Rhinolophus ferrumequinum: one gene and its partners. The protein of the gene in region 2 interacts with the protein of the main gene of each other region in a pairwise test. Links are inferred from orthologs where the notes say so. Each region holds a gene or a part of one and is shown on either strand. Other genes may lie near its edges. The genes, in order: RTN4, CERT1, ACTL8 and CSNK1G2.

Region 1 (6,874 bases), on a different chromosome or scaffold from region 2:
TGTACACCAGATTAGGTGTCAATATAAGCATTCTGCAATAAGCTATAGTTCTATAGAGACTGAATGGGCTATTTCCCTAAGTCGTGAGTCTCCCTTTACTGAAAATGTTCAAGCACATTTGTGTCTGATTGGTTCAGTGCTGTATTCCTGAGTCTTGAACAGTGCTTGTGGCAGAGTAAGTAGCCAATAAGTATTTCACGTAAGAATGAATAAAGCACACAATGGAAGCATAATATAGATGTTTCAATTAGCTTTTGCTGTGTAATGAATCATCTCCAAATGTAATAGTCTAAAACAACGATTCATTCTTTCTCATGATTCTGTGAGTTGGTTGGACAGTCTGAGATGGTTTCACATTTCTGGGACATCCGCTGCATGGCTGGGCAGATAGGTCTCTCTCTCCATGTGTCTGTCATCTTGGGCTTCACCGTTTCAAGACAGTGAAAGTGGAAGCCGTAATATCTCTGCTGGTTAGGCTTAGAACTCATTCCCATGGCATTGTATTGGTCAAGACAGTCACAAGCTCAGAAGAGGTAGGGAAATTGATCCGACTCTTAAAGGGAGTCATTGCAGTATTTGTGGCCATTTTCAATCTACCACAGACTAAATTTAAAAACCTTTTTTGCAGGGAATTCTTATAAAGGGAGGGAAATTGGTCAGGCTGCTCTTTCAGAGTCCTTCCAACTCTTAGATTCTATGACTCCACCAGACTGAATGGATCTCTTATAGTGTACTAAGAGAGAACAGTTATCACCCATGGTATTTAGAAACTTTAATCTTCTACATCTGGTATGAAAATTTCGAAGATAATTCATTGAATAAGTATTTTCTAACTATTATTATGATCTAGAGTTTATATTCTTCCTTTAATCATGTCAAATACCCACCAGAATTTTCTTGTTAGTGAGAATGATATTTTCATTTACACTAATGTGTAATTAACTCTACTTTTAATTCTGGTATAGTACCAGCATTCTCCTTTCCTTATGCTTTGTTGACCATCCTATGAACACTGGGTAAACTCTTTACCGTTATTCATCCATCAGATACTTAATTTTCTAGATTTCACTGAGATCAATAATATAAAATTCTTGTTTTTCTTCTGTGTCAAAGGAGAGTGCTTATATTACTGCCTCAGTATTTAAGGTTTACTATTAAAGTTGCAAATCTACCAATTTTTCTGTAATCATTCTTTGGTGACACTTAATACAGATATTTCCTTGTGACTATTTTAGTAGCAGGTACACAGATATATTAAAATAGAAATATCATATAACCAACTTGCAAGTAATATATGAAAACCCTATGAAACTTTCCGTTAAGGAGTTTCAGACAATCATAGTGAGAAAAACAGTATGGGGAAGACTGAACTGCTGATAAATAATTGTGACTTAGCAGAAAAAGCTCAGATTATAAAAATTTTGTTAGTATATTTTTGTATGTGTATGTACGTAGTTGAAAATCATTACAAAGCATTTGATAATTTTTGACAAATGTTTGACAAATACTCGAAACATCATTTTAGTTATCATTGTAGGAATCTGTTTTAAAATTTTCAGTTTGGCATTAAACTTCCTGTCCCAAAATTCTATACTAATACTTTTCTCTTCCTATATGCTCCCAACTTTTCAAACAAACAAAAACTCAAAGCAACTCACAACCATTTTGTATGAATAAAGCCAGTTCATCTTTGTGGAATTGATATGCCAGGTCTTGACTGTATTGTTGATAATTCACCTGATCTGGTAACATTTCTAGGAAATCTTGTTCTACCTTTCCTTTTTTTTTTTTTAAAAAATTAATGAACTTTATTTCTTAGTTTTACATTAACAGAAAAATTAAATAGAACAGAGAGTTCTCATACCCTCCCATGAGAGTTCTCATACCCAACCCCGACCAGTTTCCTGTTACTAACATCTTGCATTGGTATAGTACATTTGTTGTAACTGATGAACCCATATTGACATACTATTTACTAAAGCCCAAAATTTAGAGTTCACTCTTTGTGTTGCATAGTTCTATGAGTTTTGCCAAATGTACATCATGTATCTTTCATCATAGTATCATACAGAATAGTTTCACTGCCCTAAAAGTCTCCTGTGTTTCACCTATTCATCTCTCCTTCCTCCCCCTCAACCCCTGCCTTTCCTTTTAGTACTCTAATTAAGTGTAGGATAATACTAATTAGTTGGAGCTAAGAATTTGCTTAAATAACCAGTGATTTCCCCACGGCAATCAAAATTTCTTAATCATTAATTTAGACCAGCACTGTCCAATAGAAATATATGAGCTGTATATGTACTTAAAACTTTCTAGAAGCTTCATTTAAAAAATAAAAAGAAATAAGTTAAATTAACATAATATACTTATCTCAATATATCCAAAATAGTATCAATTCTAATATGTAATCAGTATAAAAATTGAGATGTTTAACTTTTGTTGGTACTAACTCTCAAAATGTAGTGTGCATTTTAAACTTACAGCACATCTCGTCTGAGACTAGTTACATTTCAAGTGCTGAACAGCCACAAGTAGCCGGTGACTATGGTATTGAACCAACCGTGCAGGCCTGGGCAGTCAGCAACTTTAAAGCAAGTTATCCTCTCTCCAGGGCCTCCACATTAGGCATGCAGCAAAGACTTTTGAAAGGTATATCAGAAAGATAAAAGGGCTCTCTAAATCTCTGGATGTTGATACTTACATGTTCTGCAACCACTTTCTTTAAACTCTCCAGTTTTGGAAAAAGTGGAATGGGAATCATGCTCATTCTGGCATATCAAAGAAATGAGCATTGGGCTTCCTGCTCCCAGAAAGCCTGAATCATCTGAAATGTTGACTCATGAACCTAAGGTTCATGAAATGTAATGTGAATCAAATTTGCCTTTCAAGGCATCATTCTATTTCCATTTTCCTGTCTCCCATCGTCCTCTAAGTGACTCATCCTACCATGTGAGAGTCCAGCATTGAGTAGATCCCAAAATCTTCCTGGAAGGAAATTAGTGGACTTTCAAATGGTCCACCCCAGACTCCAGATACCGTGTTTTCCCAAAAATAAGACCTAACCGGAAAATAAGCCCTAGCATGATTTTTCAGGATGACATCCCCTGAACATAAGCCCTAATGTGTCTTTTGGAGCAAAAATTAATGTAAGACCTGGTCTTATTTTCGGGGAAACACGGTAGTCCAGCCCAGCTCTGTTTTGCCTACCTCATTGAGGATTTGCAAATTAGACTGGGAATGATCTTAAAACTGTCAAAAATTTTTTTCTTTAAAGGTGGTGATAGTAGTAGTGATGAGGTGGTCTGGGAATTTAAGTTGGAAAAAATATCTTTTATTTCAAAATCTTTAAAAATTTAACGTATATTTCAGTCCTTAGGGCGTACTACATAGTCCGGTTAGTACCTTTCTCCACTCTGGGTTTTTCCTTTCCTGGGAGGAAAGTTTCCACCCCCAACCTCCCAGGATAACGCCCTTCCGGTGGCGCGCCAGGCACTTCTCCGACCCTTCAGGGCAGGCAGCTGGCTGGGTTTCACAGTACTCTAACTACAGACTGACCTCCAACTGCGGGCAAGACCGAGACCCCAGCCCTAACCCTCAACTACCGAAAGTGGAGGGTGGGACTGCCAGTTTCAAACCCCGCCCATCGAGCCCGGTAAGCGAGGAAGAACAATAAGACCCACCCACTTCCATCTCTTTTCCTTTCCGTTGGGCCGGCTAGTTGCCCTTCGTCCGGTACCCGTAGCCGATTGGCTCCCTTCCTCCGCGCCCGCCCTGCCTCTCCCTGCTGGGGAGGGTGAATCACGCCAAACTGGGCGGAGAGGCGGCTGGCCTCTCTCGTTCGCTCTTCTGGGCGGCGGCGGCAACTGGGGACTGGGCGGGTGGCGCATCACGGGCGCGGAGGCAGGAGAAGCAGTCTCATTGTTCCGGGAGCCGTCGCCACTGCAGGTCCCTCGTTCGGCCCTGCCCCTCTTAGTCCTCCCCACCCCCCACAACCGCCCGCGGCTCTGAAAAGAAGCGTCCCCCGCGGCCGTAGCAGCTGCAGCATCATCTCCGACCCGGCAGCCATGGAAAACATGGACCAGTCGCCTCTGGTCTCCTCGTCCTCGGACAACCCGCCCCGGCCTCAGCCCGCGTTCAAGTACCAGTTCGTGAGGGATCCCGAGGACGAGGAGGAAGAAGAGGAGGAGGAAGACGAGGACGAAGACGAGGACCTGGAGGAGCTGGAGGTACTGGAGAGGAAGCCCGCCGCCGGGCTGTCTGCGGCCCCAGTGCCCACCGCCCCCGCTGCGCCCCTGCTGGACTTTGGCAATGACTTCGTGCCCCCGGCGCCCCGGGGACCCCTACCGGCCGATCCCCCCGCCGCCCCGGAGCGGCAGCCGTCTTGGGACCCGAGCCCCGCGACGTCCGCGGTGGCCGCGCCATCCCTACCTTCCACTGCTGCAGCCTCGCCCTCCAAGCTCCTCGAGGACGACGAGTCCCCAGCCCGGCCTCCCCCTCCTCCACCGGCCAGCGTGAGCCCCCAGGCCGAGCCAGGGTGGACCCCTCTCGCCCCGGCCCCCTCCGCGCCCCCCTCAACCCCGGCCGCGCCCAAGCGCAGGGGCTCCTCAGGCTCAGTGGGTAAGTGCTTAGCCCTCCCGCCTCGCGCCGCCCCACGCGCCTCTCCCTCCTTTGTGTGCAGCCTCAGCTGCCTCCGGCCGAGCCCTCCTCTCGGCCCCGAGGGGGCTTTGTCTGCGGACCTCAGGGAGAAGGCGTCTCCCGGGTGGGAGCCGCGGGGAGCGGGGTGGGGCGGCGGAGGAAGCCCGGGTTTGTTCCTCATTGTTTGTCTGGGTATCGGGGAACACGTGCACCCCGCTCGCTCCCCATTCCACTGCGTTCCAGAAGTTAGGCACCCACTCCTAGTAGTAGGAGCTGGTTGTGAATAGAGGAACTAGGGTTGTGGATTCATTGGGCTGGCGTGGTTCTGGGGTGAGGATGGAGAGGCCTTGCGGTAATCTTTTGTCTCCCGGTCTGGGTTGCTCCTAGGGAAGGGCGCAGTTTGGCTCCTAGTCTGTTTGCCTGCTTTCAGACCTGGCCTCCCTCCTCACCCCCTTCCTGGCCTGGGTGACTCCCTTGCGCTTCAGCCCCCTTTCCCTCCTTTTGCCCTGGCTGAGAGCTGGCCCATTGGAAAACGTCCACATTGGCCCAGCTGCAGTGAAGGGAGAGCGCCTCCAGTGGTGTGGCGCGTGGAAAATTGGGAAGGAGAGAGTTCTGGAGAAGTCCTGCCACCGCCCAGTTTACCCCCGGTTGTGATGTGGCGACTCCCCACCAGCTAAACTGAGCCTGGGAAATGCGATCTGGCCATTGTGTTTCGAGGGGGCGCAGTCCTGCCAGGGTCTCAGCTGCGGAGTGAGTGGAATTGCTGTTAGTGTGAACAGGTTTAGCCTCTTACTGCATCATGCTTGATTCGTAGGGAGGGGAAAAAAAGGCAAAATGGTTGCTATCTTTAAAGAAGGAAAACCTGTGGATTCCTTGCTGGGAATAGGCTAATTGAACTTGTGGCAGATTTACCATGAGACTTATGAAATGTTTTGAGACAGGTTTTCATTTATTGGTTAGCAATATTATTTCTTAGAAGTTATGTTTTAGGTCGACAGACAAATCTGCATAGTCCGTAAATAGTTTTCAAATCTTTTTATTCACATGAGTAGTACCTGATTACACATTATTATCAATTTATTTTTAGGAATATTGTTTTATTACCTTTTTCATCTCGGGAATTGTTTATTTTAGAAGAGAAAAAATCAAGTTTGTTAGAGATTGAGAATTCATTTTATCAGGCAAATTATTAACTAATTTACAAGTAACTTGTTAATTTTGGAGCAAAAAGTGTCCCACTAACAGTAGGACCTTTCTTTATGTGTAAAAGGTAAAGAATAAGGTAGTTTTACTGCTTGCTGAGAAATCTTACTATCATTGTAGGATTTTGGAAATCGTTCATTTTCTAGAAAAATAAAATCAGTCTGAGAGCACGGAATTTTTTTTTTTCTTGCATTCACTCCTCTACAATTGGAATATAAGCCAATTGTGATGTTTCTGAATAACATTTTGATATTGACATCCTCCAAAGCATTAATCAAAACACTAATTACTACACTAAAGATACTAGAAGATGAGGAATAACTCACTTTCCTTTTTCTGAATCAAAAATACATTTGAGAGAAACTAAGGTGAGGTAGAAAAAGATAAAGTAATAGGAAATTTGCAGAAGGGAAATTTAATGATTAACAAAAGCATACTAATTTGTCCTCTTGTATTCCTGCATGGTAACAAAGAGAAGAGTTCTGTTCTTTGAACATTGGGGATTTGGGAGGTGACAGCATTCTCAATTTTGACTTTTGGAAGACAAAGAAGAGAGAATATTGCCTTCCCATCCATTCTATCTAGTTTCCTAATTCTTTATTGATAATGCCTATTTGAAAACTGGTTTATTTAGTAAATGCAGGAACATCCTGATTATGGTCATGGATACTTAAGCTATTTCAGTGAGTCCAGATTTCTTAAAAGACTTTGTTGGTTCATTCAACTGCATATTGACTGTCTGCAGAGACAATGCACTGTTGGGCTATGATATATATGATGTACAGTGATAAGCAAGACACATGTGCTCCCTATGGGGGAGTACAGATAATAAGGACATAAATCAGGACCTTACAATAATTGTGTTATAAGGAAAATAAACAGGATGATGGCATGGAGAATGACTGGAATGTGTGCGGGCCTTCCTAGGTAGGGTAGGCACTGAGACAGGCCTTTCTGAGGAGGTGAGATAGGAAGTGCAATTAAAAATTTTTGGGCAACTCCTAGGAGGCAAAAGCCTTGAGGCAGGAATGAGCTC
Region 2 (7,143 bases):
CATGGAGCTCCAACCGCCTGAGCCACCGGGCCGGCCCCGATGGGGCATTCTTAAGAAATGTTGCAATCATCAATTCTCTTGATGGTGAAATGGAAAATGTGTGGAAAAACAGGGACATCAACAAGTATACGGTGGAAATTAATTTAGAAGATTCTGATTGTAGAGAGATTAACAAATCCTTAACTAATTTATATCACTTATAATTACCTTCTATCATAAAAGTGATACATATAAACATACATACATATACTCACACCTATATACATTTTGTCTTCATTAAAAATACAACAGTATAAAAAGAAAATTCAAGTGGTCCATAATTTCACCACCTAGATAATTATTAAAGACATTAAAATAGAGTGAAAAAATATCAGCTGTGTTATTCACATGCCGTATTTTGTTATTTGTCCTCTAGTTTTAAGACTGTTGCTATTCATAGATTATTACCTCTGTTTCATAGATTAGTATCTCTAAGGTTCCAAAATCACGTTTCTTATGTAAATCCGCAATTTTTAACTGGTTATATCTCAGTTTGGAACAGCAGTATAGAGAACAATTAAATTCCCAGGCTAGCTAAAAAAGGACTATTTAACTCAAAATGCATCATCAACATAATAAATACTGTGGAAATATAGAACCTGCAACCTCTGTTAGGGACTAAAATTCATTATGAAGCCCTAACTTCCAATGTGACTGCATTTGGAGATAGCGTCTATAAAGAGGTAATTAAAGTTAAATGAGGTCATAAAGGTGAGGCCCTAATCCAACAGGATTGGTGTCCTTATAAGAGGAGGAGGGAGGGAACAGAGCCATCCAGTCTGTGGTATTCATATTTTGTTATGGCAGCCTGAGCTAACTAATAAAGGCTCTTTATAGGATCATCTTAAAAAATTACAGAATGATTTTAGTTTTAACTTGGGACATCCTGGCCAGCTCTGGCATCAAGTTCTAGCATCAAGAGTAAATATTCCTCTTCATTCCTCTACCTGCTGATCAGTAACACTGCAAACATTCTCAGTTCCAACATCTCTGGGTTTTTGGCTTCTGTGTCTTGGCAGTGGGAGTGGAGGGCAAGGATGAAGGCTTTGGGATTGGTGTTTAGTGGCGACAAAAGGTGAGAGAATGAAGTGAGGTGGAAGAAGGGAGACATAAGAGGAATTGAAGAACTCTAGTGGGATGAGAATGAACACAGGAATCAGGATATTTGGGCTCAAAATGCAACTATGATCTTTGCTAGCTGTATGAATGACCTTTGGAAAGTTATTTAGTTTCTCTGTGGTTCATTTTCTTCATGTGAAGTATTAGAAATAGAATAGAAATAATAAATTTTACATCGCGGTTAAATAAGACAGCATAGACGCAAGGGCAGGGTAAAAGAATGCTGTTCAAAATCATTAGCTGAATTAAGAGTATAGTTGCTGTGATATACTTATCTACAGTTTATATTATTTATTTACACAATTCTTCCCTCTTTTAGAAGTATTCAGAAGCAAAGAAAAGGGTATATCTTCGAAATCATATAGATCTGTGTTCAAATCCTAACTCTGCCACTTAGAAACTATATGACACTGGGTAAGTTAGTTTCCCTGAGCTTCAGTTTCAAATTCTTTAACATGAAGCCAACAACATTCACTTTATATGGTTTGTAAGGAATAAGACAGATCAGGTATATAAAGTGCCTGACCAAAGCTAAGACTTACTATTGTAAAAATGTCATTTTCTTCATAAATTAAGTGCATTCTCAATCCAAATCCCCATAGAATTTTCTATACAATTTGACAAGCTGTTCTAAAATTCATTTGGAAGAGAAGATACACAAAAATATCCAAATGAAAAAGAACATCAGGAGAATTTTGGTACTATATATATGGGAATTGTATAAAGGTAAATAATTAAATAAGTGTGGTATTAGCATAGTAAGTATAGACAAAGAGAACAACAAAAAAGAATGGAGTCCAGAAATAGACCTACATATATGGAGATTTTGCATATCACGTAAACATAAGGGTAAGAATAGACTATTCACTAAAGTGTTGGATCAAGTCGCTGTCCTTAAAAAACAAATTCCTACCTCATTCCATATACAAAAATAAATCCCAGGTGGATTCATGTTCTAAAAGTAAAAAACAAACATACAAACAAAAACTACCAAGTGAGAAAATATAGGACATTTGTAAGAGGCTTGGGGTAGGCTCTAAGTAAGACAGAAAATTCAGAAGCCATCACTCTCACTATAAAATAAAGAGAAAGAACATGTATTTTATTCTTGTATTGCAGTTTCTTCCCATCAACAGTAATGAAGTGAATCCCAACCTCTAATGTGGTATTGTAATCAGTACACAAATATATTTGTAAAATTAAAAAACAATTTAAATAGTCTTACAAGCTTAGAGGAAGATTGTGGCAAAAAAATCTGTTTTTAAAAGGCAATTTCTCTCATATTAATATTATATACAATGAAACAATTTCCTACTGAGTAAGTGGACATCTTAATGATCTAGGAGCTAGTAGTTGTGATCTAAGTGCGGGAGGTTACAGCCACACACAACTTAGAAATGTATAAAATACAACAGAAATTTCCATTTAAAGATAAACATATACTGTTCTCCCATTGTGAATTCTTCAACAATTCACAATCATTTGCTCAGGACTAATGACATTTTAACACCTACAGCTTAAACATATCAGAAATAGGAAGTCTAACTACATGAGGTAATCGGGAGGCAAAACAAAACTTAATTGCTATGGTATTCAACATTCTAAAGGAATAATTCAGTAATTCCATAGCGAGGAAAAAACGCACTATGTGGGTTTTTTCGTTTTTCTCTTTTGAATGACAACCTTGGGATTATGTTTTCATTAACACGTTGACAAAGTGTTTTCAAAAGCTTTATCTCAAGATTTCATTCATCTTAATGGCTTTCAGTTAGCACTTGATTTCACAATGAAAAACAATTGGTAACCTATTTACAACAGATTCTGCATCTATAAGTGTCAATCTTGGAATGGAAGAGAGTTACTTCTCAGAGACACTTCCTATCATTCCTTTTTTTTCCTGAAGATCCCAGTGAGATCGCCTCTATCCCTATCAGACTTATTTCTGGCCACTGTGCCTTTTCCACCAAACTCAAAATTTCACTCCTATCTTCTCGTCTCTGCAGTATTTTTTTCTGTTTCAATAACGAATTTTACTGTTGGCAATTATTAAGAAATTGACAAAATTGTAAAAGCAACAAACGAGAGGAAAGACCTTAAGCTAGCTACAAAAAGATCTAGAAGTCATCCTTATAATGTATGCAAAAAGACTAGACAAGAGCTGTTAGATCTTCTATTGGTCTTTTCACTAATTCTGGTCTTAAAACAAAGCTAGCCTATTACCTAATCCCTTAGTATTCAACAAGACTACTGCACTTTGGTCATTCTTAGAGAAAAAAGCTAATAACTTTTCTATCTTTCATAGAGAGGTAGGTCGGTAGAGATGGTTAACCTGGGTCTCAGGAAGACACTCATTTACAACTAAGAGAAAACTCCAGGCTATCATGTCACACTCTATTTTACTTTAAAAACTTCAAGCGTGATTGAATCTCTGACATCTTCAAAATTACTTCCACAGAAATAAAACTGGAAATTAACAACGCGAAGCGCTTGCTCTGGTGAGAAGGAACTGAAAATTCTTCCTTCAAAAGAGGGAAACGTTGTGAAGTCTAATTTCTAATGAGCGAGATGAAAGATCTTCAAAATTTGCTGAGGTAGTTTGCGGAAAGAAACCCCCTTGTCATTAGAGAGGTCGCAACCCTCTGGCCCGGCGTTGAGACGAAAGCACCCAGTACTCCCCGCCCAGACAAGCGGCGGCAAGATGCTCCCGGGCTTTCGGGAAGCCGCCATGGAAGGCAGGCCCGGCATCCTCAGCAGAGAGCTATCTCAGGTCCGTCCGCGCAAGCCGGGCGGGTTCGTCACAAACACGCTACGCAGAGAGAGAAGCGCGGCCGAGGGAACCGGTCACGCAACTGTCAAACGAAGCCCACCCATCGCTTGATCGTCCCCAAGGCGACAAGCCTTCCCGGCGCGAAACACTCACCAGTTGCTTCAGGATAGCGACTACAACTCCCAGGAGATCACGCGGAGCCGCGTCCTTCCCAGAATGCAGCACAGCAGCGTCCCCAACACTACTCCTGTCTCCGCTCCTCCTACTTCTCTACTCTGCGTCACCCGGGAGGGCCGAAGGTAGGGTGCGGGAGGGACCCCAAGCCTTCGGCGTGCTGCGTCAGACGTTGGCGGGTGGGTGGGGGACGGGGCGGGGACCTGGGGGAGAATGGGAAGACGTAGAGGAGGGCAGAGGGGAGGGGAGGGTAAATAGTGGGCCAGGCAGGAAGATGGCGGCGGTAGCGGAGGTGTGAGTGGACCCGGGTCTCTGCAGCTGGATTTTCTCTTCCCTTTTTCTTCCCCCTTCCTTTTCTGTTTGAGATTGGCATCAAGGGGGGTGAGTTCGGGTGGCGGCGCCGGTCGCAGCGCAGGAGTCACGGCAACGGTGGCGGCTGACGGCCGGAGGGACAGGTTTCTTTCGCCGCTTGTCTTCCTTCCCGGGTCCGCTCGGTGTCAGGCGCGGCGGCGGCGGCGGCGCGTGGGGTGGACTTCGTCCCTTCTCCAGCACCCCCCGGTGCCGGAGCGCGCACTCTTCCCTTTGCCATCCTCCGACGTTTCACTCCGGGGACTGAACGCCTCCTCCGGCGCAGCTCAGGGAGCGGGGGCCGGTCTCCTGCTCTTCAGTCGCGTCTCCATGTCGGATAACCAGAGCTGGAACTCGTCGGGCTCGGAGGAGGATCCGGAGACGGAGTCTGGGCCGCCTGTGGAGCGCTGCGGGGTCCTTAGCAAGGTGAGCAACCCGCGGGGCCAAAGGCCCCCTGCTCAGACTCACCTGCCGCGAGGCGAGCCGCTGAGGGCATGGGGTGGGGCTGGGCGGGAGGCACGGACTGTCCCGGGCGGGGGCTGCGGAATGTGCCGGGGTGCGTTGCTGAGTTCTGCCGCAGGAGTGCCGGGGCCACGGGTTGGAATGGGGAAAGGGGGTAAAGTGAACTGTCTTCTTTGCCTGCCCTGGGGGGTCGGCAGCCGCTGAGGACCGGGGAAACGTGTTCCAACCCCAGATCCAGTTTGGGAGCGGGATGCGCACCATGTCTTGGAACTGAGGGCGGCAGCTGTCCCGGGCATAGGAATCCAGGTTGGGCAACGGCGGTATCCGAAAAACTGGGTATGGGAACGATGTAAATCGATCCTCTCAAACGAGGTTAGTCCGGGTATGCTGAGCAGAATAGGGTTGGGGGATTCTGGGGACGCGGCTGTTTAGACAGCAGCCGGAGCAAGGAGACTTGGTGCTGAAATCTGAGGGGGTGAACTATGCCAGCCAGGTTAGATGTAGGGAGAGATCTCAATAAGATCTTTTGTGCTTTTCCCCTCACCCTTTACCCCAGTTCAGAAAAGAGCTATTGAATAGGCATGTGATAGGTACAAAATTGTATTCATCGTAACTTGGAGCATATCAGAATGGAGACTGACCTTTAGTTCAGAAAGAAGAACAATATTTAATAATAAAATATTCTTGCAGTCAGATGGCCAGAGTAAGGAAATGACGTTACCTTTCCCGTATTTTATAAAACCCCTTTTTCAAAATTTTAGCAAAGCAGTCATTTGTAGGACTCTAAGGCTAATTAGTTAAAATGGATGAAGCCCTTTTTAAGAGGGAAGATGGGTGATCTTTTGCTAGTACATGGGAGTTTGGGGGTTTTGTTTGTGTTTACTTTTTTTCCTTATAGTGTTGCTATGAGAAGATGCATGTTGCCTTTTTTTTTTTTTCCATTTCTTTCTCCCTTACTGTTAAACTTTTAGAAATGGATGGAGCTAGCAATTAACCTGGAGAAGGGGGAGCTGGGGCCAGCCTCTCAACAAGCTGGTCATGAGATACTAGGTCATGTGCAGCTCCTGGCTATTAAGAAATCACCCTGCTTCCAATATACATACTTGGCTTAAGCATTTGGACATCTTGGAATTGTTTCATGTTAGATTTTTATATTGTCTTCAAAAGGCTGATGAGAAAGGGCCTAAGAAGGGCATGAGTATGTCAGCACTAAGGTTTATAAGTGTTAACCCTTATTTACGTAGTAGAAAAATTACAGTGTGTTAATACTGTGATCATTATTGGAATTTCATTGAAAGGTTTTCAGTGAACGGAAGCTCTCTAGGCTTTCTTTAAATGTATCTTGTGATTCAGGAATCTGTGTTGAACACATTGTATAATAAATACACATTTTCAGATGCAATTGTTATGAAATGGGTTCTTTACTTTTCAGTGGTTCTGGTAGTTTCATCACTTTTCTCATTAGATGAGAAGCAGACTTTCAGATTTAGTATTGTGGTAGTGTTAAGTATTTTACAAAACAAGCTGTGCGTTTGACCCATTGACACTTTTTGGTGATTGTTGTAACTGGTGGAAAGAGTCACTAGTGCTCTGAGTATTCACCTTATGCAGAGCAGTGTAGTTGGTATACTCTGGAAATGTGGAATAAATGGAAGACTATCTCTTTGATATTTAAATGCATAGAAATGTGGTATTTGACCACTTCTGTGGTAGCTAAGTAACTTCAGTTTTGTTGCATGCTTAGATCAACAGGAATATAGGTTTTGGTGGTATTCTTATTATTTCCCCGAAATATAACAATTTATGGTTATATGTAATGTTTTCTGGAAACTTTTTAATCAAGAGTATTTTATATTTAATACATGTTTTAAAATTTAAAGTAATATATATTTTGAGCCCTTTGTATTCATTTGGTAATTTAAGCACAAGTTAGAACTCAGCATCTTTTTTTTTCCTTCTGTTGAGTAATTCAGGTATGTCCCACTACCAATTTGATTTGTTTCTTAAACCAGTCCAAAGTTGTTTATTTTTTCCTATATGGTAATCTAAAATACATGAAAATACTTATGAAACATCTTTTTATGGAATTTATTCTTAAGCACGTAGGTTCTAGGAACACTGGATAGACAATAATTCTAGTTTACTCTAACAAATATCAGGATTAATCATGGTTGGGAAAAGCTTCATGCCTTAGTAGGACTTGAGAGCAACTAAAGACTGAGTAAAATAAATCG
Region 3 (8,010 bases), on a different chromosome or scaffold from region 2:
GGGATTTTCTACATAGACAATGATGTCTTCTGCAAATAAGGATGGTTTTATTGCTTCCTTTCCAATTTCTAAGCCCTTTATTTCTTTTTCTTGCCTTATTATATTGGCTAAGACTTCTAGTTAATTGTTGAATATGAGTGGTGAGAACTTTCAGTCTTTCACCATTAAGTATGATCTTATCTGTAGGTGTTTTCCTAGATGCCCTGTATCAGGTTAAGGAAACTCCCTTCTATTCCTTGTTGTTGAGAGTTTTCATTATGCATGCGTGTTGAATTTTATCCAGCGCTTTTTTTGCATTCATTGAGGTGGTCACGTGGTTTTGAATTACACTGATTTAAAAATGTTGATCAGCCATACATTTCTAGGATAAGTCCCAGTTAGTTGATACATTTTATCCTTTTTATATGTTGCTGATTTTGCTAATATTTTATTGAGAATTTTTTATACCTAAATGCATAGAAAGTTTGGTTTATAGTTTTCTTTTTTTGGTAATAGCTTTGGTTTTGGTATCAAGATAATGCTGCCCTCACAGAATTAGGTGGGATGTGTTCCCTCCTCTTCTGCTTTCTGGAAGAAATTGTGTATAGTTAGCGTTATTTCTTCCTTAAATGTTTGGTAGAATTTACCAGTGAAGTCACTTGGGCCTGGAGTTTTCTTTGTTGGAAAGTTTTTAACTAAAAATTCAATCACTTTTAATAATTACAGAGCTCTTCAGGTTATACATTTCTTCTTGAGAGAACTTGGGTAGATTATGTCTTTAAAGGAATTTGTCCATTTTACCTAAGTTGTCATACTGATGTCACCTCATCCCTGATATCAGTCCTTTGTGTCTTCTTTGTTTCTTCTTAGTCTGACTAGAAGTTTATCAATTTATTGATCTTTTCAAAGAACCAACTTTTGGTTTTACTGACTTTTCTCTATTGGTTTCCTGTTTCCAGTTTCAATGATTTTTTTTCTTGTTATTTCCATCTTCTGCTTCCTTTTGCTTTAATGCATCCTTATTTTTCTATTTTCTTAAGGTGAAAGCTTACATTATTGACTTCAACCCTTTCTTCTTCTCTAATACACACATTTAATGCTATAAATTCCCTCTGAGCACTGCTTTAGTTGCATCTCACAAATTTGATAGGTTGTATTTTTATTTTAATCCGGTTCAAAATATTTCCTAATTTTTTCTTTGACCCATGTGCTATTTAGACTTGCATTGTTTAATTTACAAACATTTGGGGATTTCCCAGATATCATTCTTAAATATATCCAGAATCCAACCACTTTGCTCCCTTTTCGCAACTACTACCTTAATGCAGGTCACTCTCATCTTTCTCGGCCCTTCAATCTCCTGCTTCTACTCTTGACCTCTACAGTTTATTCTTCATATCGGCCCAAATGATCCTTTCACAACTGAGGTCAGACCGTGTCATTTCTCTGCTCAACCCCCCAGCGGTTTCCCACCTCTCCAAGCACAGCACAAAGGTCTGCGTGGCCCATCACAGTCTTCAAACCCTTCCCTGCACCCACCACGTCCCACTATAGTGGCCTCCTGGCTGTTCCTGGAACACATCTAGCCATGTCTTCCTCAGGGCCTTTGCACTTATTGTTCCTTTGGCTTGAAATGCTTTTCCAGGTAATCACATGCCTTATTCTCTCACTTTATTCAGTTCTCTGTTCGCATGTCACCTTATAGAGAGGACTTTTCTAACTGTCCTATTTAGAATAGCATCATGCCTCTGTCCCTTTTACCAGATTTAATTTTTCTTCATTGCACTAATCCCCCTGGCACGACACATTTCATCTGGTGCTGACTGACAGTCTTTCTCAGTAGCTTACAAGCCTCAGGAGGGCAGGAACCACGGCAGTCTAACTAGCACATAATCGGCGCTCAATAGGGATTGGTAGGATAGGTGACTTGGTAAAAATGCTTTTGAATAGATTTTCTCTCTGTTCTTAGAGCTCGCTCCTTGGGGCCATCTGGACTTTCTTCCTATAGTCATGGTCCAGGGGAGGAATGGCCCCCAGCTTCCCACCCTGGTGCTTCCAGGCCCCGGTCAGGAGGTCCACCAGCCAGGAGGCCCCCTCAGTGGGCATCCTGATTGACAGCCACAGTGGCCAATCACCCTGCCGGCATCTGTGATTCCAAATGCCAGAGGCGAGGAAGCATTTGTCAGTGACCCCGCTCTTGTGCGGGGAGGTGGGTGACAGAATCCGCTTCCCAGAATGTCATTCAAATGCCCGGTTCTCCCTCACTCTGGGTGACTCGGGGTGAGGACTCCATCAAATCAGTCTGCCAGCAGGGAGGGAAGAGACTGGCACCTCGGCTCCGTCTCTCTCCTGTTTGCTCTGCCCATCTGATGTCAGAGCGAATTCAAGGCAGTGACACCTAATCACCGCCCCCAGGCTGGTGACGGAAGGGAGCCACTGGCCAGGGCCAGGCAGCGGTTGTCATGCTTCCACAGTGATGGGCAGATGCAACTGCTGGCCAGAAACTGAGGCAGAGCAGGTAGCGCTGGAGTGACAGCCCCAGCACACGGCCTCCGTGCCGAATGGCGTCCCTGGCTGTCTCTCTTATCTGAGGTGCCCAGGCACCGAGTCTGCTGTCTGTGTGGCAGTTTGTACTCTGCAAGGTGATTTCCTAAACCTCTCCTTTGTCCCCACACTCACTGGAGTTTTCCTTGAAAATTTTGTATTTAGAGTAAAAGTCACTCTTTAGTTGGGAGAGTTTCGACAAACTCATCTAGTTGTGTGCCCACCTCCACAAACAAGATACAGCAGCGTTCCTAGCATCACCCCCAAATTCCGCCATGACCCCGGGGGCCAACCCCTCCTGCCCCTGGCAGCCACTGATCTGTCCTTTCCTTTTTGCCTTTTCCAGAATGTCGTATGAATGGAATCATACATTGTGGAGCCTTTCCCGTCGGGCTTCTTTCACTCAGCTTAATGCATTTGAGAGTTACTCATGTTATTAGGTGTATCAGTTATTTGTTCTTTTTTTATTACCCAGTATTATTCCATGGAATGGAGATAGGTTTATCCATTCCCCAGGGGAAGGATTTTTAGGTTGTTTCTAGTTTTTGGTGATTATGACTAGAACTACTATAAACTTGGGCACAGAGGTTTTTGTGGGAACATACGTTTTCATTTTTCTTGGGTAAATACCTTGGCGTGGAAAAACGAGGTTGTAGGGGAGGTGTATGCTTAACGTTCCAAGAAGCTGCCAAACTGTTTCCAGAGTGACATCTCTGGCATCCCCACCAGCAGTGAGTGAGGGTTCCAGATCCTCCATTTCTTTTCCAGCACTCAGAACAGCTGCTCTTTAATTCCAGCCATCCCCATAGTGTCTCATTGTGGTTTTCCTTTTCCTTTTCCTGTGTTTGGCAGCCACATATCTTCTTTTCTGACGTATGTGCATCTTTGGCCCACTGAAAAAAAAATGGAGTTGTTTTTCTTATTATTGGGTTTTACGAGTTACGGTTTTTGGATATAAGTTCTTTATCAGATATGTGATTCGTACATATTGTCTCCTGTGGCTTGTCTTTTTATTGTCTTAACAGTGTCTTTTGAAGGGCAGAGTTCTCAAATGTGACCAAGTCCAGTTTACCCAATTTGTTCTTTTCTGGATTTGATTGGGCTATCAATATTATAGCTAAGAAAACTTTACCAAAGTCACCATGATTTTGTCCGAAGTTTTATTTTAAAATTTTATAGTTTTTACATTTTACATTTAGGTCTGTGGTCCATTTAGACTTAATTATGATAAGGTGCATGGTACTCCATACCTTAAAGTATATATTTTTTGGCGTGTGGATCTCCAGTTGTTCTCTGTCATTGGTTGTCAAGACTGTTCTTCTTCCATTTCATTGGTTTTGCGCCTTGTCAAAGATCTGTTGACCTTTTTTTGTGTGGCTCTATTTTTGGACGCTCCATCCTGTTCCCTGGATCTGTGTGACTGTCCCTTCACCAATACCACATTGTCTTGGCTACTGTCGTTTTGTAGGAAGTCCGGAAGTCAGGTAGTGACCACACCTCCCTTTTCAGCTTGGTGGTTATTATTACCCTCACTTTACAGATGAGGCAGCTGACCGCATTCTGGGTTAGACGTCTCACTCACAGCCTCCTCTACATACTAAGTTTAGCTGCTTATTTCATACTCAAACCCCACGTCTTCTGAGCTTGCCTGATGCTCAGAGCATGGCCTGTGGAGTCTGGTTTGGGCGTAACCCTCAGCTGTGCTTTGATCAGTTGTGTGGCCCTGGGAAAGTAACTTTAACCCCTCTGTGCCTCAGTTTCCCCATCTGTAAAACAAGTGTAAGGACGGTAACTGCTTTATAATTGTGATGCGGATTCAATGATTAGATCAGACCATATGGCATTTTTGACCGACACGAGTAACAGTTTCACACAGTTCAACTGACTATGCAAAATGCCTCTCTTATACTAGAGAAAGGGTGTGTACCCCGGAAATGGTCGCTATCGCTGTTGTCACCAGCTTGTCGTTGTCACTATTGCTCCTGCTCGTGCTGCTGTGGCGACTGCAGTATGATTGTTGGGGGAGGTGGGCCCTGAGGCTGATGGTTTCTGTTCCCTGTACCCTCCAACAGGCAGCCAACCACCACCAAGTGCCTCCTGGAGGACAGGCTTCTTGCCGAATCTGCAAAGAGTAACGGAGCCCATCCTCTGCTCTTGTGGAGCGGGAAGTGCTCTTGTGGCACGTGTGCAAAGTACAACGGGAGAAGCCTGGTGGGAAGGAAGGGCCGGCAGGACTTCCCAGATGGGCCCATTAGGCAGGCCGTGTAGGACAGTTGGGAGCTTGGGACGGGAAGAACACTCTAGGTACAAGTTATCACTTGTGCAAACGCTTGGGAGGGGGAACGGACAGGCTTCCAGGGAGCCTGAGGTTTGGCTGTGGCTGGAGAGTGGGAAGCAGCCCACGGTGTCCCAGAATGGGTTCACAGGTAACCCCCATCCTTTCCCTCCACAGGTGGCCCAAGTTTGCCAAACAGCCTCGAGGAGCCAAATTCGTCAGACCCCTCCCACCTCTGCCTCTGCCATGGCTTCGAGAACCATCATCATCGATCACGGGTCTGGCTTTGTGAAGTCTGGCTTTTCCGGCTGGAACGAGCCCCAGATGATCTTCCCAAGCGTCGTGAACTACAGCCCGTGCAGGGAGAACCCCGGACCCAGCTACGCCAGGCGGCGCCTGGGTCTCGGCATTGACATTTTCCATCCGGACACGTATAGCTACCCCATCCAGCGTGGCCGCGTCCTCAACTGGGAGGGCGTGGAGCACATCTGGTCCTTTGTCCTAGAGAAACACAGACGGGAGCACGAGGAGTCTCCTGTGTTGGTCACAGAGTGCTCCCTGAGGGAGCCTGCGGACCGACGGAAGACCCTGGAGGTAAGGCCTTCTCAGGGCGGCCGTCACGGGGGGCGGGGGGGAACAGCTGGCACTTTGTGTTTGGACATGATTGGGCATCAGGAAGTCTGCTTGCTTAAGCCTTGGCCCCCAAATGTTTCCTGAGTACCTCGTTTGTGCCGGCACTGAGCTAGGCAAGAGGGACTCACAGAGGGCTCCCCCCCACCCATCGAGACACAGCAGGAACAATGCTCTGTGGAAAAGGCCCTGCAGGGAGATACCGGACATTCAGTCGTGGATTCCACAAATGTTCACGGATCGGATTCCGGCCCTCAAAGAGTTTACCTTCTGGGGGAGAAGACTTGACCACGAATACGTTACCAAAAAAGAATTCCAGAGGGATCAGTTCTAGAAACAAAATGAAGTGGGGTGATAGCTGACTGGTGAGGATAGAGGGAGCCCTTTTGAAGAGGGTGAGCAGGGAGGGTTTCTCTGAGGAGGAGATTTCAGCCAGTGAGGCTGAAGCCCGGTAAAGGAGGGAGGGTGGCAAGAGGGAGACGGGAAGGTGAGGTTGACAGGGGCTGGACCTGGCAGGCTTGGTACACTGTGGGAAATGTTTGTATTTTACTCTAAATCAAGAGTTGATAAACTACAACTGGAAGGCCAAATCTAGCCCAACATCTGTTTTTATAAATAAAGTTTTATTTGAACACAGCCACGCCCACTCATTTACATATTATCTCTGGCTACTTTTACACTTCAACAGCAGAGCTGTGTCAGAGACTATAGAGTCCATAAAACCTAAAATACGTACTATTGTAGATAAAATTCAAGATACCTAGTTAGACTGGAATTTCAGATAAACAACAAATAATGTTTTAGTTTACCATGTTTCCCTGAAAATAAGACCTAGCTGGACCATCAGCTCTAATGCATCTTTTGGAGCAAAAATACTATAAGTAAAATAAGACCGGGTCTTATATAATATGATATAATATGATATGATATGATATGTGATATGATATATAGTATAGTATAGTACTGGGTCTTATATTAATTTTTGCTCCAACAGATGCATTAGAGCTGATGGTCTGACTCGGTCTTATTTTTGGGGAAACATGGTAAGTATATCCCAAATATTGCACAGGACGTACTTATACAAAATCATTATTTGTCTATCTGAAACTCAAATTTAACTGGGCATCCTATATATTTTTCTTTCCAGTGTCAAAGTGAATGCTTTAATGGGTGTTATTAATTGGGTGTCCTATATTTTTATTTGCTAGACCTGGCCAACCTGGCGATCTAGCTCTTTACTGAGAATGCTTGCCAAGCCCTGCTCTAATGAAGGAACGCTCCTGGAGAGTTTTAAGTGGGGAGTCACATGTGATTTTCTATTTGGAAAAGAGAACCTTGGGAGGTGGGTGGGGGCGGGGGTGTGGGGTGGGGAGTCGGGACATTATTCCGAGAGTGGGACTGGAGGGAGCTCCCTCCCACTGAGCGGAGAAGACAGGGCTGCGAGGCGTGGAGGATGCACTGCAACAGCCTTTCTGCCTCTATGGGGTCAGAAACTTGGGGGTGCACCCAGAGCTGGGGACCTGGGGAGGTGGTGCTCTGTACAGATCGAGGGGGTGATGGACAGGGGGAGAAACATCAGCTTAGGGACTTCGCCAAATGCTAAATATCAGAATTCCAGTTTTTGGCTTGATATCTGAAAAGTTTTTATGAAAAAATAGTTAAGTCTGCACCTACACGGAGGTGAGGGTATTTTCTTTCTTTCTTTACACCCCCTGTTTTTGGGAGGCAGTGGTGGACAGGCTGCACTTGTTTCTTTTCTAATCTCTTCTTTCCTGTTCTAAAGAAGTGGTTCAGGCTGCACCTCTGCCCACCTTGGCCGTGCCCCTCCCCTCCCCCCGCCATCCCCCAGTGATCACAAAGCCAGGCATCTCAGCTATTTCTTGCAGTGTATTTCTACCCCTCCCCCAAAATGGTCTTCTGAAAGACTGTCATCAGACACGCTCCTAAGGGCACATCTGACTTTCTAATCCTCTAGAGCCCCTCCCTTATCCCCACAGTTTGAGCTCCTGGGTCCCTAGGCCCAGTGTCCTGGGGGCAGCCCGCCAGTCCCTTGAGGATACTTGTCTGTGCCCACTTCAGTTTTGAGAGCTGCATGTAGCATGGTTTTGGGGAAAACAGAAATGGATCGGGGTCCTTTGTCCTAGGAAAGCACCCTGAGTGTCTGCTTTCCCCCGTCTTGCAGATTATGTTTGAGTTACTGGATGTCCCGTCCTTGCTCCTGGCTGACCAGCTGGCAATGTCCCTGTACGCCTCTGGCCTCCTGACCGGCGTGGTGGTCGATTCTGGCTACGGCCTGACCCGCGTGCAGCCCTTCCATCTGGGCCACCCGTTACGGCTCAGCAGTAAGACGCTGGAGTTTGCGGGCCAGGATCTCTCTGCCTATCTCTTCAAGAGCCTTTTTAAGGAAGAGAGCAACGAACACAACCTGTTTCAGCTGGAAACGGTTGCCACCACTCAGATGAGCAAATGCTATGTGCCACAGAATCTGGGGGAAGCTCTGGACTTCCGTCAGAACCTGCCGAGTGGCTCTGATGAGAGTAACACCTATCAGCTTCCGGATGGCACCCCCGTGGAGCTGACCC
Region 4 (7,170 bases), on a different chromosome or scaffold from region 2:
ACGCACGACCCAGAGCAGCTGGCAGACCTCCCAGGACTCACTGGTCCCAAAGGCGCTGTTTTCCACTCAAAAATGTCTATTTCTTAAAACCAAACATTTCCAATGAAAATTTAGGGTCCAAATGAACCCTGAGCATAAAATGCACACCCAAAGAAAAAATAATAAGCTGTCTCTCACCCATCACATGTTTAAATGATGTTCTAGACATATCGAGTTAAACAAAGTGTATTAAAATGATTTTCACCTGTTGGTTTTTGTTTTTTAACGAGGCTACCGGCATACTGTCCCTCCAAAGCACTCGTCACTGCCCATTTGTGACCATTGTGACCGTATCACACAGGGAAGCCGAGGCCCGAGGCTGAGAGGCGCCTTGCATCCCATCAACGTCCCGGGAGGCCTGAAGGCTGGAGGCCCCTGGCCACCCTGCACCCAGCTCCCTGCCCTGCCTGCTCAGCCCTGGTTTTTCTGGGCCCAGAAAGGATGGATATGCCAAGACAGGGACCGACTCCACAACCACAATGAGGGGCCCCACTGCTCCTGAGGTGGCCTGGGATCCAGGAGGGGCGGCAAAGTTAACCATGGGACAAGGTATGACTGGGTGTCCCTGGGAGAGAGGCCCCTGTCCCTAAGGTCAGCCTCTCAGGGACCTTGCTCAGACCCACCAGTAAACCTGCACGGACACAAGGGGCTCCACAGCTGTCTGGGACGCCTCTCAGCTGACTTGCTTCCCAAATTACTGGCTGGCGTGCTGGCTCCCCCAAAACTGGAAGGAGCACATAGGAAGGCTTTTAGTTAAAAAAACAAAAAATAAAAAACAAAAAAAAAACTTACCTGCTTCCTCTTGCAACCCAGAGATAACTACTATGTAATTAGGAGAGTCAGATGGAACCAGAACCGGCAGTTCAAAGAAGTCAGTCTGCACAGGGTTTTGTCGTCACCGTGAAGGGACGCCCAGAGCCAGGTAATGAAATGCCCGTCCCATCCACTTCAGAGAAATGAAAGGAATCAGAAGCAGACAGGAAGACGCTTTACAAGGGCGGACTGACATCGGTGCATGGAAAAACCAAACCCATGCACGACCACCACTGCAGAGCCCCAGGGGTTTCCCCCATCCTGGGGTGGAGGGTCCAGCCAGCTCCTTCCAGATCTCCCTCCACCTGCCGAGGGCAGCAGACACAACTGGCTCCCAAACCTGGGATCTAACCCGCCCTCAGTGCCCCTAGCAGCCCTCCCATTCTGTTCCTTGAAGGCAAAGCAACAAACACCTGCAGTCCTGGAGACTTCTGGGGGCGCTGCACCAGCCCTCCCCACCCCCATCCCCTCGCTCTGCAGAGCCCAGAGTGGTTCCTTTCTCGGCACAATTTAGTACGAAAAACAGAAACCAACTACTGGCAACAACGGCAAACTTCCCCCTTTCAAACCTGTGGGCCTGCTCACAATCTGCTCTTCTCACAGAGACGACTCCATTCCCCAGTGGCGGCCACCCCTTCCCTAATCAGAGGAGCTCTCCCCATGGGTGGCAGGCGGTTTGCCCCCAGATCGGAGCCTTTGTGCTTCCCCACTCATCTCACACCCATGAGCTACCGGCGCCCCTGTGGGGGCTGGCAAACGCCAACTGAGCCTGTCTGTGTCCCCGGGGACAGGGATGGAGGACCCACCCCCAGAGTTCCAGACACTGGCCAGGCCTGGGTTCCCCTGTGGAAGGCACTGGGGAGAAAACGCCAGACTCCACCTACAAGCACAGAACCCTCCAGGACCATTTCCTGCAAACAATGCGGGAATAACCCAGCTGCCCTAGAGCCTGCGCAGGACGACAGCTTGGACATCACCGTGAGGCTTTCTCTCAGATCCCCAGCCCCTAAGTGAAAGCTTCCCCAGGAAGAAAGTTGGGGCAGAAAGGGCAGGGAAAGCACCGTCCCAGGCAGGGCAGGGATCAGTGGCGGGATGAGTGTGGCCGGCCACCAAGGAGGCACAGACCTCTCACCACCCCCTCCCTGATCTAAAGTGTTTCCGGAAAACAAAGCCAGTGGTGAGGGCGGAAGGGGGAGGGCGCAGCCAGGCTGAGCCTGAGCAGCACCCCGCAACAGGTCACCCTGGTTGAGACCCTTCTTTGCTGCACACCCTTTCCCCACCCCAAGGGTCCAGCTCTCCCCAAGACCTTCAGGACAGCGGGGTGGGGGGAAATATGTGCACCAGCGTTGGGAGGGGTGATGGCACCAGGTGGGCAAGGGCGGCGGTCCAAGGGAGAGAGCTGGGTGGTCACAGGAGTGGGCAATGAGCTTGAGCACAGGGGGACAGTGATGGGGGCAGGTGAGGTGGGGCCAAGTGGGCAGTGAGAGAGAGCAGGGTCTGCAGTGCGGGGTCAGTGGGAGCAGCTGGGCCTGGAGTGAGGGGATAGTGGGGGGAAACCGGGTCTGGACTGTGGGGATAAGCGGGAGGCAGAAGTGGCAAGGTCTGAGTTTGGGGGTCACTGAAGGGGCAAGGTCTGGCGTGAAGGAAGTAAGGGGTGAGGGGCTGGGGCTAGAGTATGGGAGTCAGGGGGCCGTAGGAGCAGAGGGGTTGGAGTGTGGGAGTCACGGGGCTGTTGGGGCAACGGGATCGGAGTGCGGAGTCAGTGGAAGTGGGGGTTAGCAGCAGGGTTCGGAGTGCGGGGTTCTGCGGGTTGTACGGGCAAAAGAAGCTGGGGTAAGGGGGTCCAGAGTGCGGGTTGTAAGGGTCGAGGGGTCTAAGGTGCGGGGGTCGGCGGGGTGCTGGGGTCCTGGGGTCCTGTAGGGGCGGCGAAGTACCGGAGTCCGCGGAGGTGGGGCCGCAGGGCCGGGCGCGTGGCCGCGGCAGCCGGCGAGGGCGCGCGCGTCGTTACCTCTCGGCCTCCGCCGTGGCCGTGGCCGTGGCCCCGCGGCCGGCCGGCCGGGCTGGGCGGCCTGGCTCCCTCAGCAGCGCGGCGCGGTCCCCCACTGCGGGACCCGCTCTCGCTCCGGCTCCGGCGCCCGCTCGAGCCTCCGCTCCCGCGCCGCCGGCCTCCGCATGTTGGGCGCGGGCCGTCCCCGCCGCGCGGGCGCCCGGCTCGCCCGTCTCGTAGCGTCGCCGAGGCCCGCGCTTACGCCGCCAGCGTCGTGGGGAGGACCCGGCGCTCACTGCGCAGCCGCCGCCTCCGCCGCCGCAGGGCGCGCGCCGACGTCACAGCGCGGGGGGGAGGGGCCCGGCGGCGCGCTCGCTGCTTTGCGGCAGCGGGTGGCGCCGCGCGACGACCGCTGCGCTTTGCGGCCGCCTCGGGATAGTCAGGCTTCTTCCCGCGGGGCCAGCGAATGCACACGGGTGCCGGGACGCGCGCACGCGGAGGGAAACGGGCCGCCTCCACCCTTCGGGGGGCGGTGCTCTCGCCACTCGCCCGGGCCCGCCCCGCCGTTGCTATGGCGACGCGTGACCGGCCGCACTTCTCTTTCGTCACGGTCTCGCCACCTGACATCACGACCGGGCGGTGCCGCGGGGCGTGGTCGGCGCCGAGATGGGTCGACTTCGGGGGCTGGTGGCGGGGGACTGGTCGGGTGGGGCCAGGATGTGAAAACAGTCTAGGGTGATGGGCAATCGGTGTGGATGGTCTTCGCAGTGTCCTAATAAGTGGTGACGTCAGTGAGGAGTAAAGGAGGGATCAGCACCGGGCTGCCTCCGCTGTGGGTCACCCAAGGCAGCTGGCCTGGCTGGGGTGCTGCTGGGCCGCCGGGCGGAGCACAGGCCCTGTACGCAGCTGGCATTTGATAATATCCACCGCCCACCGCCTACTGCCTGGACCGAGAGGAGGCGTGGGGAGGGGTGACTGACCAAGGCCCCGCTGTGAGGCCCTGCTCCACCCGGGACAGGACCTGGAGAAACAGTGCCTGCCCTCCCGCATGCCCGGCGTGCCTCCTGGGGGTATTTTAACGTTAGAGGATACTCATCCATTCAAGTATTAAGTGCCTGCCAGCGGCTCTCAGAACAGAACGTGAGCTGTATTCTTGGCGTCACTTTCCAAGGAGTCCTCAGTCCTGGGGGGGAAGAGGAGACAGGACAATAAATAAGTAGACACAGTGGTTTCAGAAGGTGTCAAGGCGGCGTGGGGCAGTGACAGGGCCACACCCTACAGGCTAAAGCTACGTGTGACCAGATGGGAAGAAGTTTCCATGGTCTCTGATTACTTACTGTCCTGCTGACCAGTAAGTAACCAGATGGGGGAAGACAATTAAACTGGAATGGGACCGTGGAATGGCAATGGTTTGGGGCCAAGCCAGGCCCTGGCAGAGGCAAGCATTAGGGCTTATTCGGCCCAGTACTTCTCCTTCAGTCCCACTTGCAGTGTTGCAGTCTCCAGGAAGCCCCAGCCGTATCCCCTATTGTCCTTTCTCATTGCATCTTGATCCTCTCCAACCTGAGCCTTACCATAAAGGAGTGTGTTTGTTTAAAATCAAGCTCCTCTGCCAGCCACGCCAGGTCGGGACCAGGTCTGCTTTGCTCACTGCTTTGCCTGTACATACACTAGGCACTCAGTCTGTGTGTAGCAAATGAATGAATGAAAGAACAAATGAACTCCATGGTCCTCCCAGATTCTGGATAACTTGGGGTTTCATTTCCTCATATTTCCAAGCCCTATCTCTCCTGTCCTTTCCCTTTCTTGATATTCAGGAACATCTGCTTTTAAGAAATTCAGCTCCCAGGAGGGCAGAGGATCTATCCTCCAGAGGTATTTGAGCCCTAAACCCGAGCTCCATCCTTGCCCCTGTAAAAGGCAGGGAGGCTTGTGCAGCTGAAAGAACGGAGGAGGTGAGGCCAAGGCAGGGGTTGTGCCTGTCAGAGGCTGTGTGACTCTGAGTAGATCATTGACCCTCTCTGGTCCTCCACATCTTCATCTGTATGTTAGGACTAACGATAGCCCCCTCATGGCGGGAATCTATGAGTTAATGAATAAAGAACTGCCAGCATAGGACCTTCTGCCTCAAACGAACATATTTCTTTCTAATTAATCACTTGGGATCTTTGAAAAAGCAAACTGCCTTTCCATCTTTCTCATTTTTAACCCGCTTCAAATGTGCTCCACATGTTCCTGCGTCCTTTGGCTTTGATCATGGGGACACCATTTGGGAAAGCTGGAGTGGGAAACAGCCCCTTTGGAGCTCTTGTTAAAATAATAAGAACACTGTAAAGAGGATGAGCTGGTCTCCCCGCCACCCCCCAGAAAGTCAAACAATATCCTGGCCTCCCAATAAATCCTAAACAGCTGTGGATTTCGGGGAGGAGATGGCAGGAAGCACCCCTTCTGTCTCTTTACCCTTACAAGAAGCAGATCCATCAGTCTCCCCCTGCTTGGACAGACCCCAGGAGAGGCCCAGGGCTGTGTCCCTGTGTCCAGCACCAGCCCAAGCAGGTGTCCTGGTTCCGTTTTGTCCGACTGAATGGAATGAGTGTTGCCTGCCGTCAGGCCCCTCCCCATACGGAGCAGGGACTCACTTGGACATGCACATTCCTGTTTTCCAGCTGTAGATGGAAACAGGTTTAAGAGGCAAAGGGATTTGCCCATCGTACCCTGGCTTCAAACCTGCAATGTTGCTGCCTTCCACAGGTGGGTAGTGCTGGCTCCAACTACTCTGAGGGGCAGCCTGGGACCCCCCACACCCCAATCCCAGTGGCTGTAGTGTAAGAAGGTGTTCCACCCAAGGCAGAGCCTGATGCCATATGCTCACGACTGATTGGGACAAGTCAAAGTTCTGTCTCTCCACTGTGAGCAATGGAGGGGAAACGGAGGCCAGAAGACACATGAGAGAGGTGGTGAGGGGCAGCCATGAAGAAACTGAGGCCTGGAGGGTGCAGAAGCTCCTGGGGTGAACTGTCCACCTTAGGGGCCCCCCCATCCTCTGAGAATAGCCCCCAGCAACCAGGTCTGTACCATGTGACCACCCAGCCATCTCTGATTGGCCCAGAATGAGCCAATCAGATCCTTGTCTGGGATTGCTGCGTAGGAGGAAGCATCCTACCTGACTTGTTACCAGATAGGGACCTTCTGCCATGTGTGGCTTCTCAGGCATCTGCTTTCCCCATTGTTGTGATACAGTGTAGGGGACCCCAGTTTGCCCAGGTCTCCTGGGACTGTCAGTGCTAAAACCCCAAACTCCCAGGAAACCAGGATGACTTAGTACCTGAGCGTGGGGCATGAAGTGTCCTACCTGTCACAAGGAGCTATGAGGAGTTTCTTCACCCCACTTCCAGAGGACCAAGGTTTGGAAAAGGTAGAGGGTTGAATAGCATCCCCCCAAACTCATGTCCACCCAGAACCTCAGAATGTGAAATAGGGTCTCTGCAGATGTAATTAGTTAAGATAAAGTCGTACTAGATTAGGGTAGGCCCTGAATCCAATGACTGGTGTCCTTATAAGAAGAGAGACATGCATATAACTATGCAAGGGTATTTATTAAAAGGACACAAACTATAGAAAAAGAGAGAGACGCAAAGACAGAGGTAGAGAGAGAAGATGTCCATAAAACAAGAGAGGGGGAGATTGGGGTAATGCAGCCACAGCCCACGGACACTGGAGCCCTCAGAGGCTGGAAGAAGCAGGAAGGACCCTCCCCTGGAGCCTCTGGAGGGAGCGGGGACCTGAGACACCTTGACCTCAGATTTCTGCACTCCAGATGTACAAGGATAAATTGTTTTGAGCCACCCAGTTTGTAGTGCTTTGTTATGGTGACCCCAGGAAAATCATACAGGTGTGGACCCGGATTTGGTCAATGTTATGGGTTGCATTGCGTCCCCCAAAAACATATGTTGAAATCCTGACCCCCGGTACTTGTGAATGGGACCTTATTTGAAAATAGGGTCCTTGCAGATGTAATTAAGTTAAAATGAGGTCACACCAGAGTAGGAGTGGCTCTAACGCAGTGACTGGTGTCCTTATATGAAGAGGGAAATCTGAACACAGGTGCTCAGGGACAGGCCACGTGACGACACAAAGACTGAAGTGATTCATCTGCAATCCAGGAATGACGAGGCCCGCTGGAGCCACCAGAAGCTGGGAGACAGGCCTGGAACATTCTTGTTCAAGGCCTCCCAAGGACCCCGCCCTGCCAACACCTTAATCTCAGACTTCCGGACTCCAGCACTGAGAGGAAATAAATCTCTGCTGTTTTAATCCTCCCTGTTTGTGGT

What was found.
Region 1: the proteins of CERT1 (region 2) and RTN4 interact in binary tests that used the Homo sapiens proteins (3 or more experiments, as listed by UniProt). The link is inferred for Rhinolophus ferrumequinum from reciprocal best matches to the Homo sapiens genes CERT1 and RTN4.
Region 3: the proteins of CERT1 (region 2) and ACTL8 interact in binary tests that used the Homo sapiens proteins (3 or more experiments, as listed by UniProt). The two-hybrid records come from large-scale screens. The link is inferred for Rhinolophus ferrumequinum from reciprocal best matches to the Homo sapiens genes CERT1 and ACTL8.
Region 4: the proteins of CERT1 (region 2) and CSNK1G2 interact in binary tests that used the Homo sapiens proteins (3 or more experiments, as listed by UniProt). The two-hybrid records come from large-scale screens. The link is inferred for Rhinolophus ferrumequinum from reciprocal best matches to the Homo sapiens genes CERT1 and CSNK1G2.

Annotation. Positions count from the first base shown.
Region 1 is NC_046296.1:32,571,193-32,578,066, forward strand, and holds the start of RTN4 (reticulon-4), read left to right. Parts: upstream 1-3,873; 5' UTR 3,874-4,064; coding exon 4,065-4,617; intron 4,618-6,874. UniProt on the Homo sapiens protein: Required to induce the formation and stabilization of endoplasmic reticulum (ER) tubules. They regulate membrane morphogenesis in the ER by promoting tubular ER production.
Region 2 is NC_046290.1:48,143,880-48,151,022, reverse strand, and holds the start of CERT1 (ceramide transfer protein), read left to right. Parts: upstream 1-4,126; 5' UTR 4,127-4,141; coding exon 4,142-4,224; intron 4,225-4,356; exon of another isoform or gene 4,357-4,476; coding exon 4,477-4,873; intron 4,874-7,143. UniProt on the Homo sapiens protein: Shelters ceramides and diacylglycerol lipids inside its START domain and mediates the intracellular trafficking of ceramides and diacylglycerol lipids in a non-vesicular manner.
Region 3 is NC_046292.1:11,733,974-11,741,983, forward strand, and holds the start of ACTL8 (actin-like protein 8), read left to right. Parts: upstream 1-5,006; 5' UTR 5,007-5,044; coding exon 5,045-5,392; intron 5,393-7,610; coding exon 7,611-8,010.
Region 4 is NC_046301.1:61,248,339-61,255,508, forward strand, and holds the start of CSNK1G2 (casein kinase I), read right to left. Parts: upstream 3,017-7,170; 5' UTR 2,861-3,016; intron 1-2,860. UniProt on the Homo sapiens protein: Serine/threonine-protein kinase. Casein kinases are operationally defined by their preferential utilization of acidic proteins such as caseins as substrates. It can phosphorylate a large number of proteins. Participates in Wnt signaling.